3 linked regions of the Rattus norvegicus genome follow. The main gene of each other region encodes a partner of the protein of the gene in region 2 in a complex. Links are inferred from orthologs where the notes say so. Each region holds a gene or a part of one and is shown on either strand. Other genes may lie near its edges.

Region 1 (4,197 bases), on a different chromosome or scaffold from region 2:
ACTGAGATACTGCTCTCTTCTACCAACGGCGACTGCTGGGGTTCGGGATCTGAACTCTCTAACTCATTAAGTATTTCCTCACTCAGCATCTGTCTTACAAAGATACCCACACGCTGGTCACCCACAGACATAGATCATTTAGAAACCAGAACACATCCACCGCTAAGACAAGAGACACAGCTAAGACAAGAGACCATGTTGCAAGCCAGTACCTTCTAGTGAGGGGCAATTTGCTCCAGTTGTTGAAGGATCCAGACAAGTAGACCTCCTTTCCACCCCCTGTCCATCGAAATACGGTGGGCCGAGCCTGGGCGGGGGCTTTCTCATTCACCTCGAGGTCGTGCTGCCACGCCAGGAACTCCTCCTTCTCTGGAGCCTAAGAGGCAGAGGCGTTCACTCAGGGTCAGGCAGACAGCAGTGAGCTCCCCACCCCGGCTGTTAACCTAAGAGACCACTGCAGTCCGATCAGGCCGAGGTGCTCATCCCCATGGCATATGACTTGTGTCTGTCCCCTACCTGTCAAAGGGAGATAATAAAAACTACCGCTTCTGTGGTATCGTGAAGACGGAGATAGTCTGACCCACATGGTGCTTAGCCATTTGCTACTGTTACTGCAGTCAGACTTCACAAAATCTCTAGAGGTGGCTACAAGGCCTCCTCAGAAGACCACCATGAGTCCAAGGTGACCTTAATACACTCCACTTCCCTTGTTAAGCAAGAAGTACGTAAGAATTTACTAGGGGCAACCGCAGAGCTGTTAAAGCTGGCACAATCAGACGGTGAGGGAAGAGCTGGGGTATAGAGAACTAGATAGATAAAACACACTGGTCCCTTCACTATGGCAAGATGTGAGTAGGACAGAGTAACTAACTCCAGACAGAGATAAAGGGACACATCCAATCCTGGGGCGAGACGCAGTTACATACAGACCATTTCTACTCCTCAGTTAGAGGAAAAGCCAAACACTGGGCTTCTCTGGTAGGGGAAAGCCCTGAAGGAAGTCCAGGAAGCTTCTATCCACCGCAGATACTGATCTGCTCTTATCTAAAAGATCCCTGCAGTCCTTGGATCTAAACTACACAGATCAGATAACATGCCAGAATTGCTCTAGGGCAGTGCTGCTTAACCTTCCCAATGTAGTACTGACCTCAACCATAAGATGATCCAGCTTCACAACTGTAACTTAGCTACTGTCAAGGATCACGATGTAAAGATCAGGTACCCAGTGTGTCTGTTATGCCGACCCCCTAGAACTCCAGAAGGGTGGCAACCACTGCTGTGGAGGACAACTAAGTGTAGCTACAAGGTTGAACTGGGGTAATGGGAAGAATCTGACTTGACCCATCAGTCACTACTGATGAAAAGAGAGGATGTCGGGTAAGCCCGTCCATCTTCCCTGACCCTGTAGAGAACAGCAACACCACGCATTTCTTTTTAAAAAGAAAAGTAAGTTTATCCAGCTCACTGGAAAGAGAGCAGAGGGCACCAGGGATATACACACACCTGCCCCAACACAAATACCTTTCACTTCCTCTTAAACAGCCTTGGGCCAAAACGACTTCTAGGGGTGGGGACAGATCAACTCCCAGGAAACATGCTAAAGATCACTGTACGCACCTTTCCCCTAACACACCAAGCTCAGAAAACAAGCTCCTATCACAGACAAGTGTCATAAAAGCAGAAACAGTAACGTGGGTCCTCAGCCCAATCTGGGGGTGGGTGGAGGTGGGGGAGTAAAAACAGAGTGAGTGGCCAGGCAATTAGCCTGTTTTAGTAATGGGGATTGGTAGGCAACAAGCCAGGTAACAGAGGCTCTGCTGGTCAGCGTCAACCTTCCTGAATGCAGTTTATTCTGAGGAATTAGCTTTTCTCTTCTAGAATCAACTGAATGCCCTTGGACTGGGCCCCATAGCCGGAAGCACTGTGGTTTTAAGAGAATGTGGTTCAAGCAGGAACTTTCTGCTTGGCCTGCAAGAATTGTTTGCTCTGGTCTGCTTAAAGTCCAAGGCATTATGTCAGTAAAGCAGGAGAGTAGTGGGGTAGTTAGCTGCTGGCTGCTGTTCAAAGAGACTCTTGGCCACTGACCTCAAGTGGAATTGCTGGATCTAAAATAGAGTTAGCAGAATAGCCTGAAACCATCAAAACCAAGCACCTCTAGAAGTCAGCTAGTCAACTGCACGTTCAGCTTAACATATGTGCTCCTCGCACCTTCAAAACGAACACTAAAACTCCCAACCCAACTTTTGCAAAAAAACAGCCAGCCTGAAGTTGTGGGGGAAAAAAGTGTCGCGAAGCCGCGCAATCAATTACACCTAAGAGAAAAGTAGACACTAGCGTTCAATTACAACTAGCTCGACTCTTAATTAATTAAGAATCTGAAACTCGGTCCCAGAGCTGCTTTCTCCTTAATGATGTTCAACGAAGCCCAGGGTGGCTCTCCCATCGGTAATTAGGGACAGGTTCCCGGGCAGCAAAGTGGACTGTGACAGGGCCAGCTCCCTCCAGGTGTGAGGCTAGGAATGTGGCGGGAACAACAGCAAAGGGGCCCTGCCCTCAACCTGAGTCAAGAGGGCTCGGATGCCCCTCGACTCAGCACCTTCATTTCCTCGGTGTGGAAGATGTCGGCGTCTTCGGGGCTGTCCATCAGGATCTTGGGCCTGTCCCCATCCTTGGTGCCCCCCGAGCTGTCCCTCCGCGGCGTCTTATGGCCAGCCTGCCGCTCCAGCGCGGCGCGCTCGCTGCTCGTATTGCCCATGGCGAAGTGTCTGCGGGGACACAGGGAAGCGGGAAGGGCCGGGCCGGGACCCCCGGGACCGCGGACCACGCCCCTCGGGTCGCGCGCGTTCGCCGAGCCCCGCTTTACCTGCTTGGACCGCAGCGGCTGGAACTCCGACAAGAGCGGGAGCGTAACCTGACACTCCTCGGGCAACTCCCCTCTACCCCTTAGCAACTTCCGCTTCCGGCCGGGCCCCGAGAAGGAAGGGTGGTCACTGCGGACGGAGCGCTGGAGGCTAGCGTGATGTCACTTCCGCTTCCGTTCTTGGCGCGAGCGTCCGAGGACGACCTCCTCCAGCCGCTCCACGCACAGCCGCTGCGGGTCGTTCCGGGAGGCTCCCAGGTCGAGTTTCCTGACGGCAGGCAGGAGGCGCTCCGGAGCTCGACTCTTCCCGCTCCTGACCGAGCAAGTTGCCATTGACAGCAATGCTGACCTCATCCCAAGAGTACCTGGGTTGGGTTCCGGGCGCTTAAATGGTGGCTCAGCACTATTTGCAGTTGAAGTTCTAGGGGATCCCGGCGCCCAAGACAGGGATCATATAAAGGCGGGCAGAGCATGCATACACATAATCTTAAGAAAACAAAAGTAAAAACACATGTTTAGGTCTCTCCTGTAGATACGCTGGCTCTCACCATTGAGTGTATTAGGATAACCTAGTGTTCCTTCGAAAGGACAGCCTCTCCAGACTGGCCAAGTCAGAGTTTCTGTAGACAAAGGTGGAGGATGCAGAGCATCTTGCCGGTGTTTGAGCAAAATGACAGACCTTGATTTCTGGGAAGTCGGTGTTATAAGTGGGCTTCTGTTGTTTGATTAAAGTTGTCCCATTGATATGACATTTTGCAAGGTGCCTTGGAGCCACATTGGTTATATTATGCATACAATGTAGTAGTGCTTAGTGCTTCCGTAGAAGTGTAGACTCTTGTTATAGAATGTTCTCACCTTCACAGCCAGCCTTTTTAAAAACATTGTTTGTGGGTTGTTGTTGTTGTTTTTATTGTTAGTTTTTAAACATTGGACTTCCTAGGCCATATCTTATGTTTCCGGGGTTTTGTTGTTGTTTTGGTTTTGTTTGTTTTTTCGATACATGGTTTCTGTGTATAACAGCCTGGGCTGTCCTGGAACTCACTTTGTAGACCAGGCTATCATCGAATTCACAGACCTCTGCCTGCCCCTGCTTCCCAAGTATTAGGATTAAAGGTGTGCACCACCATGCCCGTCATATATATATTTTTTAATTATCTGCAATGTGACACATTTTTGTTAAGAAAACTAGGGACCCTGATGTCTGACATACAGTCTTCTAGAGGGCCTTTAACAGTATCTAAGAAAAAGGAAACAAATTTTTATGGACAATTTCTATAAAACTTCACACATGAAAGCAATACACAAGCATGTTCTTCTGAAGCACTGCTTCTAATTAT
Region 2 (3,646 bases):
AGGATTACCCGGCCCACCACCAGCTAGAACATACTCGCTTTATTGCACACTAATAAAATGTGGCCCATTGGCTGACAAACAGCAAAGGGCTCCTACTCTAACACAGTCTCCATCAAGGTGGATTGCCTGGAGACTGGTGTCAGCTCCTTGGGTATTCTCCTGAGTAACTTGAAGCCAGCAACCTCTTTATTGCTGTATTTATCAGCCTTAAATAATAGCTCATTATGAAACTAACAGTACTCATAATCAACAAGACTATAGAGAATCCTTTGTAAAGAAAATAATGATGGGGGCTGGAGAGATGGCTCAGAGGTTAAGAGCACTGACTGATCTTCCAGAGGTTCTGAGTTCAAGTCCCAGCAACCACATGGTGGCTCACAACCATCTGTAATGAGATGCCAGCAGGCATACACTGTATGTATAAATACTGTATATTTAAACATAATAAATAAGTCTTAAAAATACAGATATAAATGTTGTTTTTTTAAAGTAGAACAGTATACATTTGTGTAAATGTTAGAAACAATCTTCATTTAAAACATCAGTATTGTTTTTAACTCATTTTCAAAATCTGATTTTGTAAGATTGTATGAGAAAGTAATAATTTTCAGAGAAAAACCTTATTTTGTAAAATTAAGCTGATTTCGTACTATTTGTTTAATAAGACTGTACTGGCTAGTTTGTGTGTCAACTTGACACAAGCTGGAGTTATCACAGAAAAGGAGCCTCAGTTGTGGAAATGCCTCCATGAGACCCAGCTGTAAGGCATTTCCTTAATTACTGGTCAAGGTGGGAGGACCCAGCCCATTGTGGGTGGTGCTGTCCTTGGGCTGATGGGCTTGGGTTTTTATAAGAGAGCAAGCTGAGCAAGCCAGGAGAGCAAGCCATTAAGAAACATCCCTCCATGGCCTCTGCATCAACTCTTGCTTCCTGCCCTGCTTGAGTTCCAGTCCTGACTTCCTTTAGTGGAAATAAGCTGAGAAAATCCTTTCCTCCCCAACTTGCTTCTTGGTCATGATGTTTGTTCAGGAATAGAAACCCTGACTAAGACAAAGACCAGCTTTAGGTGTCTGCACACATGTATATGTGTTTGTGTGTGCACGTGCTCACGCGCGCACACACACACACACACACACACACACACACACACACACTTTTATTGTAAAACTATTAAACATGTACTAAACTGAAGTGATGAGCCCATGTATCTGGAGTTCAGCTTCAGGGTCAGCAGTGTGTTGCTTTATCTCCTTCCCTCCACATTTTCTTACTAGAACATCTGAGGCAGATTCAAAGTATTTCTAATGTATCATTTTAAATGACATAAGCGGAGTGTCAGTATCACATCTAAAAATAAAAACACAATGAGTCTTATTAGTAATCTAGTCAGAGTTCAGTTTTCCGTAGTACGTGACAACTTCCTGTTGTTACACGGTGTGTGTATGTTTGAGACAAACCTTTACTGTGTAGCCCAGGGTAACTTCTAAGTCATTGATTTCTTCTACCGCAGACTTCTGAATACAGGAATACGCAGCTGTGCCACGCACTGGATTTGTTAATGTTTTTAAAGTTGGTTGAGTCAGAGCCAAAGCAAGTCTATGTGGTGTAGTTTTTCATCCTCGTGTTTCTTGGATTGATTCAGTATGTAGCTCCTCCCTCCAGCCACCTTTAAGAAAGAATGATTTGTCTACCTACTGAATTTTGTTGAATATATATATATATGCGATATATTTTTATATGTCTAAGAATACTCTAAGCATATAATACCTATCTTTATTGACTAAACAAGTTTGTTGAAATGGGAACATGCTTAACTTAGTTTGTGAAGATTTTAAAGGTAAGGAGAATCGTCTGTAAGTCTCAGGAAGTGGGATACTTCTTTTGTAATCTCCTTCCATGCTTTGGCACTGGAATTAGTTTGATAACACTGTAAAATCTGCTGCTGTCCTGCAATATGATACAAACATTAGAGTACGACGTTGTAACAACAGTAGCAGATGAGGTTGATTATTTGTGGGAGCGCCATTTTGTATTAACCTGCTCGCGCTCTCTCTCTCTCTCTCTCTCGCTCTCTCTCTTTCTTTCTTTCTTTCTTTCTTTCTTTTTTTTTATTTCCGAACAAGCTACCAAGTGATCAGCACTCCAACAGACTTTTTTATGGTAATGGAATATGTGTCTGGAGGTGAATTGTTCGACTACATCTGTAAACACGGGAGGGTGAGTGACATATTTTCTAGTGTATCTCTCAGCCCCAACGTAAGGCAGTGGAAAGAATTGCTAATAGCTAATCACAAAGATATTTTAAGTGCTTTAATTGTTTCTGTAACATCAACTGCACATGCAGGACGTATGTCCTTTCTTGAGAACTCTGCCTTTTGAGTAGTGAAACTATATCGCACTTAATCACCAAGTGATTCTTGTGCTTTTCCCAATCTGTTCTGTATAAAGTTACCTTGAAGCTTCAGTTATTTTCTTTTCTTAGAATTTTCATATAAGTTCTGTTTTAGTTGGTTTTACTGACTCCCCAAAACATTGTGCATATTTAATATTGGTTGAAAATTAAACATCATTGTCATGCAGCCAAGCAAAAAAAATCCCTTAGAATACTCTTTGAGCTTTGGTAAGGTTTTAGCTGCTTTGCTTTGTCTGACATGTTGGATTTCTAATTCGTCGATTTTAATTAGCCTGATCAGTTGTCTTCAGACTGGTTACAAACTGAAGTGCATAATAACTCATGTCCCGGATAGTCTTGATGCAGCTTCTCCTCTGCTCGCTAGGTTGAAGAGGTGGAAGCTCGCCGGCTCTTCCAGCAGATTCTGTCTGCCGTGGACTACTGTCACAGGCACATGGTTGTCCACAGGGACCTGAAGCCAGAGAACGTGTTGCTGGACGCCCAGATGAATGCTAAGATAGCTGACTTCGGTATGCCACTCCAGGGCTGCTCAGAGCTGTGTCGCACCTCTAAAATGGACCAGTGTCTGCCTTACAGAACTAAGAACTTTCCATTCACCCTCACAAATCCTCTACCACAAAAAGGGACTGATTGCAGTTCACACTGACCTATTTTGTTTATTTAAATTCACTTAAATAGTGCTGAAGTTTCTAGAAAACACATTAGAAAGCCACATCAAGACAGATCCATTCAACATGCCTTTCCTCTTAAGGCAATGGTACCTGTTGGGTTTTTTGTTTTTTTTGTTTTTTTTTTTTTTTTGGTTTTTGTTTTGTTTGTTTGTTTTTTTGGGACAGGGGTGATGATGGGAAGAGAAAGAGTCCCAAACTCCCTTGAAAAACTTGTTGACACACTGGATGTATTTCCTGATAAATGTAAATAGACAAGTGTGTGAACGTTTGTTCTCAGCTTTAAAAGCTTTGTGCTGCTTCTGAACTGATCTCGGAAAGACCTGTAAGTTTTAGGGCAGTATCTGATAACTTATGCATAAATCAGACACTAGTCCTTGGTAAGAGGCAAGGTAAAATGTACATTTTAAAATCAGCATACACTTTCTGGCCTAAGCATACTTGGAAAGGCTGCTGCAGTCTGTCTGTTTTGTGCCTGTCTTTAAACTAGCTTTACTATTTCTGTTTAAACCATTTCAGCAAGTAATTCAGCTGGGGTTTTGGTTCAGAAGATTGGTTTTACTAT
Region 3 (3,646 bases), on a different chromosome or scaffold from region 2:
AGCAGACCTGTGTGGTGACAGACAGGAAAGCTCACAGGCAAAGCTGAGAGGTCAGAACCTCAGGCCTGTCTTATATTCACTGGCAATCTGACTTCACTGAGTCTTAGTCTCTATAAGACAGGGGTCAAAAATAATAATACTTACCTCTCAAGGTTACCGTAAAGATGAAATTCAGCAAGTTAATATTTTATATATGACCACACTCTTATTAAAGTCAGCTCTATTAGAAGTGAGGCTGAATCTCTTTGCTCTAGCTGCACATTTAAGAAATACGAGCAGCTTATAGGGAAACTACAGGGAGCACCCTGCATGTGCTTATGCCCAATCTCTGGGGATGAGACCACTCAATCTGAAGGCTCACCACTTCTCCAAGGAGTTCAGTGTGTAGACAGTCACAGAACTACACATTTATGTCAACAGCCAAGTCACAAAGACACTAAAGCAATGGAGAAACCAAGGGGTGGGAAATAGGAACCTCCAGTCAGGAATCCCTTCCTACGTAAGAGATGGAAACACCTGGGCAGACACAACTAGGACGCGGCCAGGCAGCTTGACGCCCCATTTTAAAAGGTAAAGTTTATGTCTCATTCAAGCATTTGTTGAAGGAAGCAGATGCTGAAGTTTGTTCTGCAGATGGGATCCAGCCACTATGAACTCAAGCTTAAGTAAAGAGATGAGACAAAGGGTCCAGCCACCCAAGGGAACTTAGAAGCAGAAAGGCCCCATGACTGACAGCTCAGCCCGAACACAGACCAGAGACTAAGGTTTAAACTCAACAGCCTTCGAGTCAGGAAGAGACAGCTCCCCTATACTCTCTCAGTGCCAGGCGCAGCTTTAAAAGCAGCAGCGAGTGAGTTACCACTGATGAGCTTGAGGGACCCTTACCCTTCCACTTGGGAGGCTGTGGAAGACCAGGGCTACCACTTACCTTAATGGACAGCGCATAGAGATGGTTCAGCATAACATGATTGGGCTCAGGAAGTAAGGCTGGGTCACACTAGGAGAAAAGACAACCCCCCAAATGTGACTAACGAAGAAAAACCAAACAGTGTACTCTCTAGACTGTTGAGAACTCTAAATAGGATCACTTTGTCTCCTACAAGTCATGCATTCCCAGACCAGAAAATCAAAAAATCCCTAGTCTAGGGCAGAAATGCTAAGCCCCAACATCTGCTAATTTTCTTTAAGAGAATTTAAAACGAAAACTTTGCTTAGAAATATAGATGGTTTGGGTTAAAGGGAAAAAAATCTTCCTAGGAACTATCAATTATCAACTAAGTGAAACCGTGGTTAAAAATATTTAATATAAAGTTGTGAATTTCTGTATATCCCCAATGAGAGTACCCCTTATTTTGGGTTATAATATAAGTCACAATACAGATCAATTCTAGCAGTTTGGTTCTGATTTAACCAGAAACAGAAACATCCATAAATTCTGCTACTGGTACCTAAAGAAGTTACAGTTCAATCTAGGAAAAGGAAGCCCCCATGCACAGATGCACACATGGTCTTATCACCGTAATTATGACACATCTTTGTCATAATTCTAGCCCAATGTTACTAATTCTGGCCTTGATGGTCCTAGAGATCCCCAGATGCTCTAGCAACCTGCTCAGTATACTCACTGAAATATTAGTGTCCTTGTTAAGAATAACTTGGAGGAGGTGAGGGGGCAGGATGGGTGGGGATTTGAATCTCTCCTCAGATCGAAACACATACATTTCTTGACCATAAGGCCCTGGGGGTGAGCTGGACAGGTCTGAAAAATATTTATGCAAATGTGAAGGAAAGTTGAAGGTTAGTGAGAATGCATGGGGAAGCTTGCATTGCGGCCACTAATCTTAAATGCAGTACAAGTCCTGGAACGCAAGAACCTGTGGCCTACTGGAACTGGCGCTGTCAGGCTGGAAAGGAAATCAACCTCCACATGGACCAGGAAGCTTTCCCACAAGGGAACATGATGTAAGGAAAAGCTGAGCGGTCAGGACCTAGGCTCAAGGAAACCAACCCATTTGTCAGCCATCTGACCTTGGACAGATCCCTTTGATATGGTCAGTGTGTTCATTCACAGATAAATATCTTCCTAACCTTCAATGCTTTAGGGGAAATAAAAGTGACAGTGGTTAAAATGGTGTTGTGGACTCAGTGTGAAAAGATTAGATTCCATATTTTTCCCTACCAAAGCCACAGACAACAATGTTACACACTATAAGTGTACAGTGATTGCAGTGGACAGAACAAATGCAGATGTAATCAAGAAAGTACAGATGTCCAACCATAATGTGACACACTTCATACTCACTGGGATGGCTGCCACTGAAATGGCAAATATTGGCAAAAATGTAGAGAAACTCGAAGCTTCAAACTACAGAACTCCCACTGTGGGCAGATATGTACAATAGTATAGACACTTTGGAAAACAGTATGGTTGTCTTCAAACTGTTAAACTTTGTAACCCAGTCATTCATTACAGTACATTACTGGATGTAACACCTAAGATAAAATGTAAGCCCACACAAAAGCCTGAGCATGAGTGTTCATAATCAATATTTATGATGGCTCCGAAGAGCAAGCAAAACCCAAATGTCTGTCAACAATGAATGGAGAACCACAAAGGGACTGTCATACCATGCACTTCTGCTCAGCCATAAACAGAGGCAAAGTACCGACACTTGTTTCAACAAGGACGAGCCCCGGAGCCTGCTAGAGTGAAAGAAGCCACACAGTGTCTGGTTACATTAGAGGAGGTGCCCGGAACAGGCAGATCAGGCAGCAGACTCTTGGTGACAGGCGCAGGGCCAGGAGGAAGGGATGGAGGCAGTCCATATTTTGAGGTGACAACAGTTCTAAAACTCGATATACTAAAAAAAGCATGGATAAATTGTACAATATAAAAAGATGTGTTTCGTGGTATCTGGATTATACTTTAAAAATGAAAAGGTTAAATCTATAAAATTAAATGAACTATGTTTTCACTGTTTTAACATTTTTACATTATAGCTCCAGAGAAAACATTCTAGTAATGGTTCACTTTAATAACTCAGATTTGCTTCAACATATAAGGTAGAACAATGCTGTGTTATTAAACAAAACCTCAAAAATAGACAGAACAGAGAACTTTTCCAGGAATTTTCAGTTGTTCTGGTCACTTTATCCACAAAGCACCATTGGGAGCTAACACAGGGCAATGTTCTCTCATCCTTTCTACTGAAAGGACAAGATGAATGGTGAAAAGTCACACACACGGCCACACTCACTACCTGCACGCCCCTAATTAACGTCTCCGCCTCACACCACTGGCTTAGGAAACCGAGTGACCTAAAGTGTGTGTCCTCCAGCTACACCTTCATGACTCATTGCCATACCCACTGGTTACTTGCAGATCATAAGATAATCACAGATCTAGTGGCCTCAGAAACCTTTTAAGACCACTGCCCCTCCCGCCAGTGAGGATGCTCAGGTTGACTTTCTGAGGTTATAACTAAATCTAAGTAGGTAGTTACTGTGCTGTGGACTATTTGTCCCCTGTCCTAGAGATTCTGCTATGGGGTCTGCCTCAGTTATTATGACTGAGGCTCACTGAGGGTCCAAGCCCGTGAGTTTACTGCTGGGAGCTGGAGTACAATGGCATGACTAGTAGCAGAGG

The links.
Region 1: the proteins of Prkaa2 (region 2) and Prkab1 are in contact, whole or in part, in a crystal structure (PDB 8BIK), measured with the Homo sapiens proteins. The link is inferred for Rattus norvegicus from reciprocal best matches to the Homo sapiens genes PRKAA2 and PRKAB1. Residues at the interface, in NP_006243.2 of Homo sapiens: Gly9, Val11, Lys12, Ile13, Thr21, Lys29, Lys31, Asn48, Arg49, Arg53, Asp56, Val58, Ile61, Lys62, Ile65, Gln66, Lys69, Val82, Ile83, Ser84, Thr85, Pro86, Thr87, Asp88, Phe89, Phe90, Met134, Met164, Ser165, Asp166; in NP_006244.2 of Homo sapiens: Pro79, Thr80, Val81, Arg83, Thr106, Ser108, Asn111, Val113, Ile115, Gln154, Val155, Asp159, Phe160, Glu161, Val162, Phe163, Ala165, Leu166, Asp169, Ser170, Lys172, Cys173, Pro186, Tyr187, His188, Gln189, Glu190, Pro191, Tyr192, Ala202.
Region 3: the proteins of Prkaa2 (region 2) and Prkab2 are in contact, whole or in part, in a crystal structure (PDB 6B2E), measured with the Homo sapiens proteins. The link is inferred for Rattus norvegicus from reciprocal best matches to the Homo sapiens genes PRKAA2 and PRKAB2. Residues at the interface, in NP_006243.2 of Homo sapiens: Gly9, Arg10, Val11, Lys12, Ile13, Thr21, Asn48, Arg49, Val58, Gln66, Gln81, Val82, Ile83, Ser84, Thr85, Pro86, Thr87, Asp88, Phe89, Met134, Met164, Ser165, Asp166, Gly167, Glu168, Phe169, Leu189, Ala191, Glu194, Pro253; in NP_005390.1 of Homo sapiens: Val60, Ser61, Gln64, Glu67, Asp68, Ser69, Thr73, Gln74, Ala76, Pro78, Thr79, Val80, Ile81, Arg82, Ile106, Ser108, Val113, Ile115, Val155, Ser158, Asp159, Phe160, Glu161, Phe163, Asp164, Lys167, Leu168, Gln191, Met193, Tyr194.

The regions. Positions count from the first base shown.
Region 1 is NC_086030.1:46,247,778-46,251,974, reverse strand, and holds the start of Prkab1 (5'-AMP-activated protein kinase subunit beta-1), read right to left. Parts: upstream 2,881-4,197; 5' UTR 2,756-2,880; coding exon 2,597-2,755; intron 377-2,596; coding exon 213-376; intron 1-212. UniProt on the Homo sapiens protein: Non-catalytic subunit of AMP-activated protein kinase (AMPK), an energy sensor protein kinase that plays a key role in regulating cellular energy metabolism.
Region 2 is NC_086023.1:125,060,471-125,064,116, reverse strand, and holds part of Prkaa2 (5'-AMP-activated protein kinase catalytic subunit alpha-2), read left to right. Parts: intron 1-2,123; coding exon 2,124-2,217; intron 2,218-2,777; coding exon 2,778-2,922; intron 2,923-3,646. UniProt on the Homo sapiens protein: Catalytic subunit of AMP-activated protein kinase (AMPK), an energy sensor protein kinase that plays a key role in regulating cellular energy metabolism.
Region 3 is NC_086020.1:187,952,489-187,956,134, reverse strand, and holds part of Prkab2 (5'-AMP-activated protein kinase subunit beta-2), read right to left. Parts: intron 1,760-3,646; coding exon 1,626-1,759; intron 998-1,625; coding exon 929-997; intron 1-928. UniProt on the Homo sapiens protein: Non-catalytic subunit of AMP-activated protein kinase (AMPK), an energy sensor protein kinase that plays a key role in regulating cellular energy metabolism.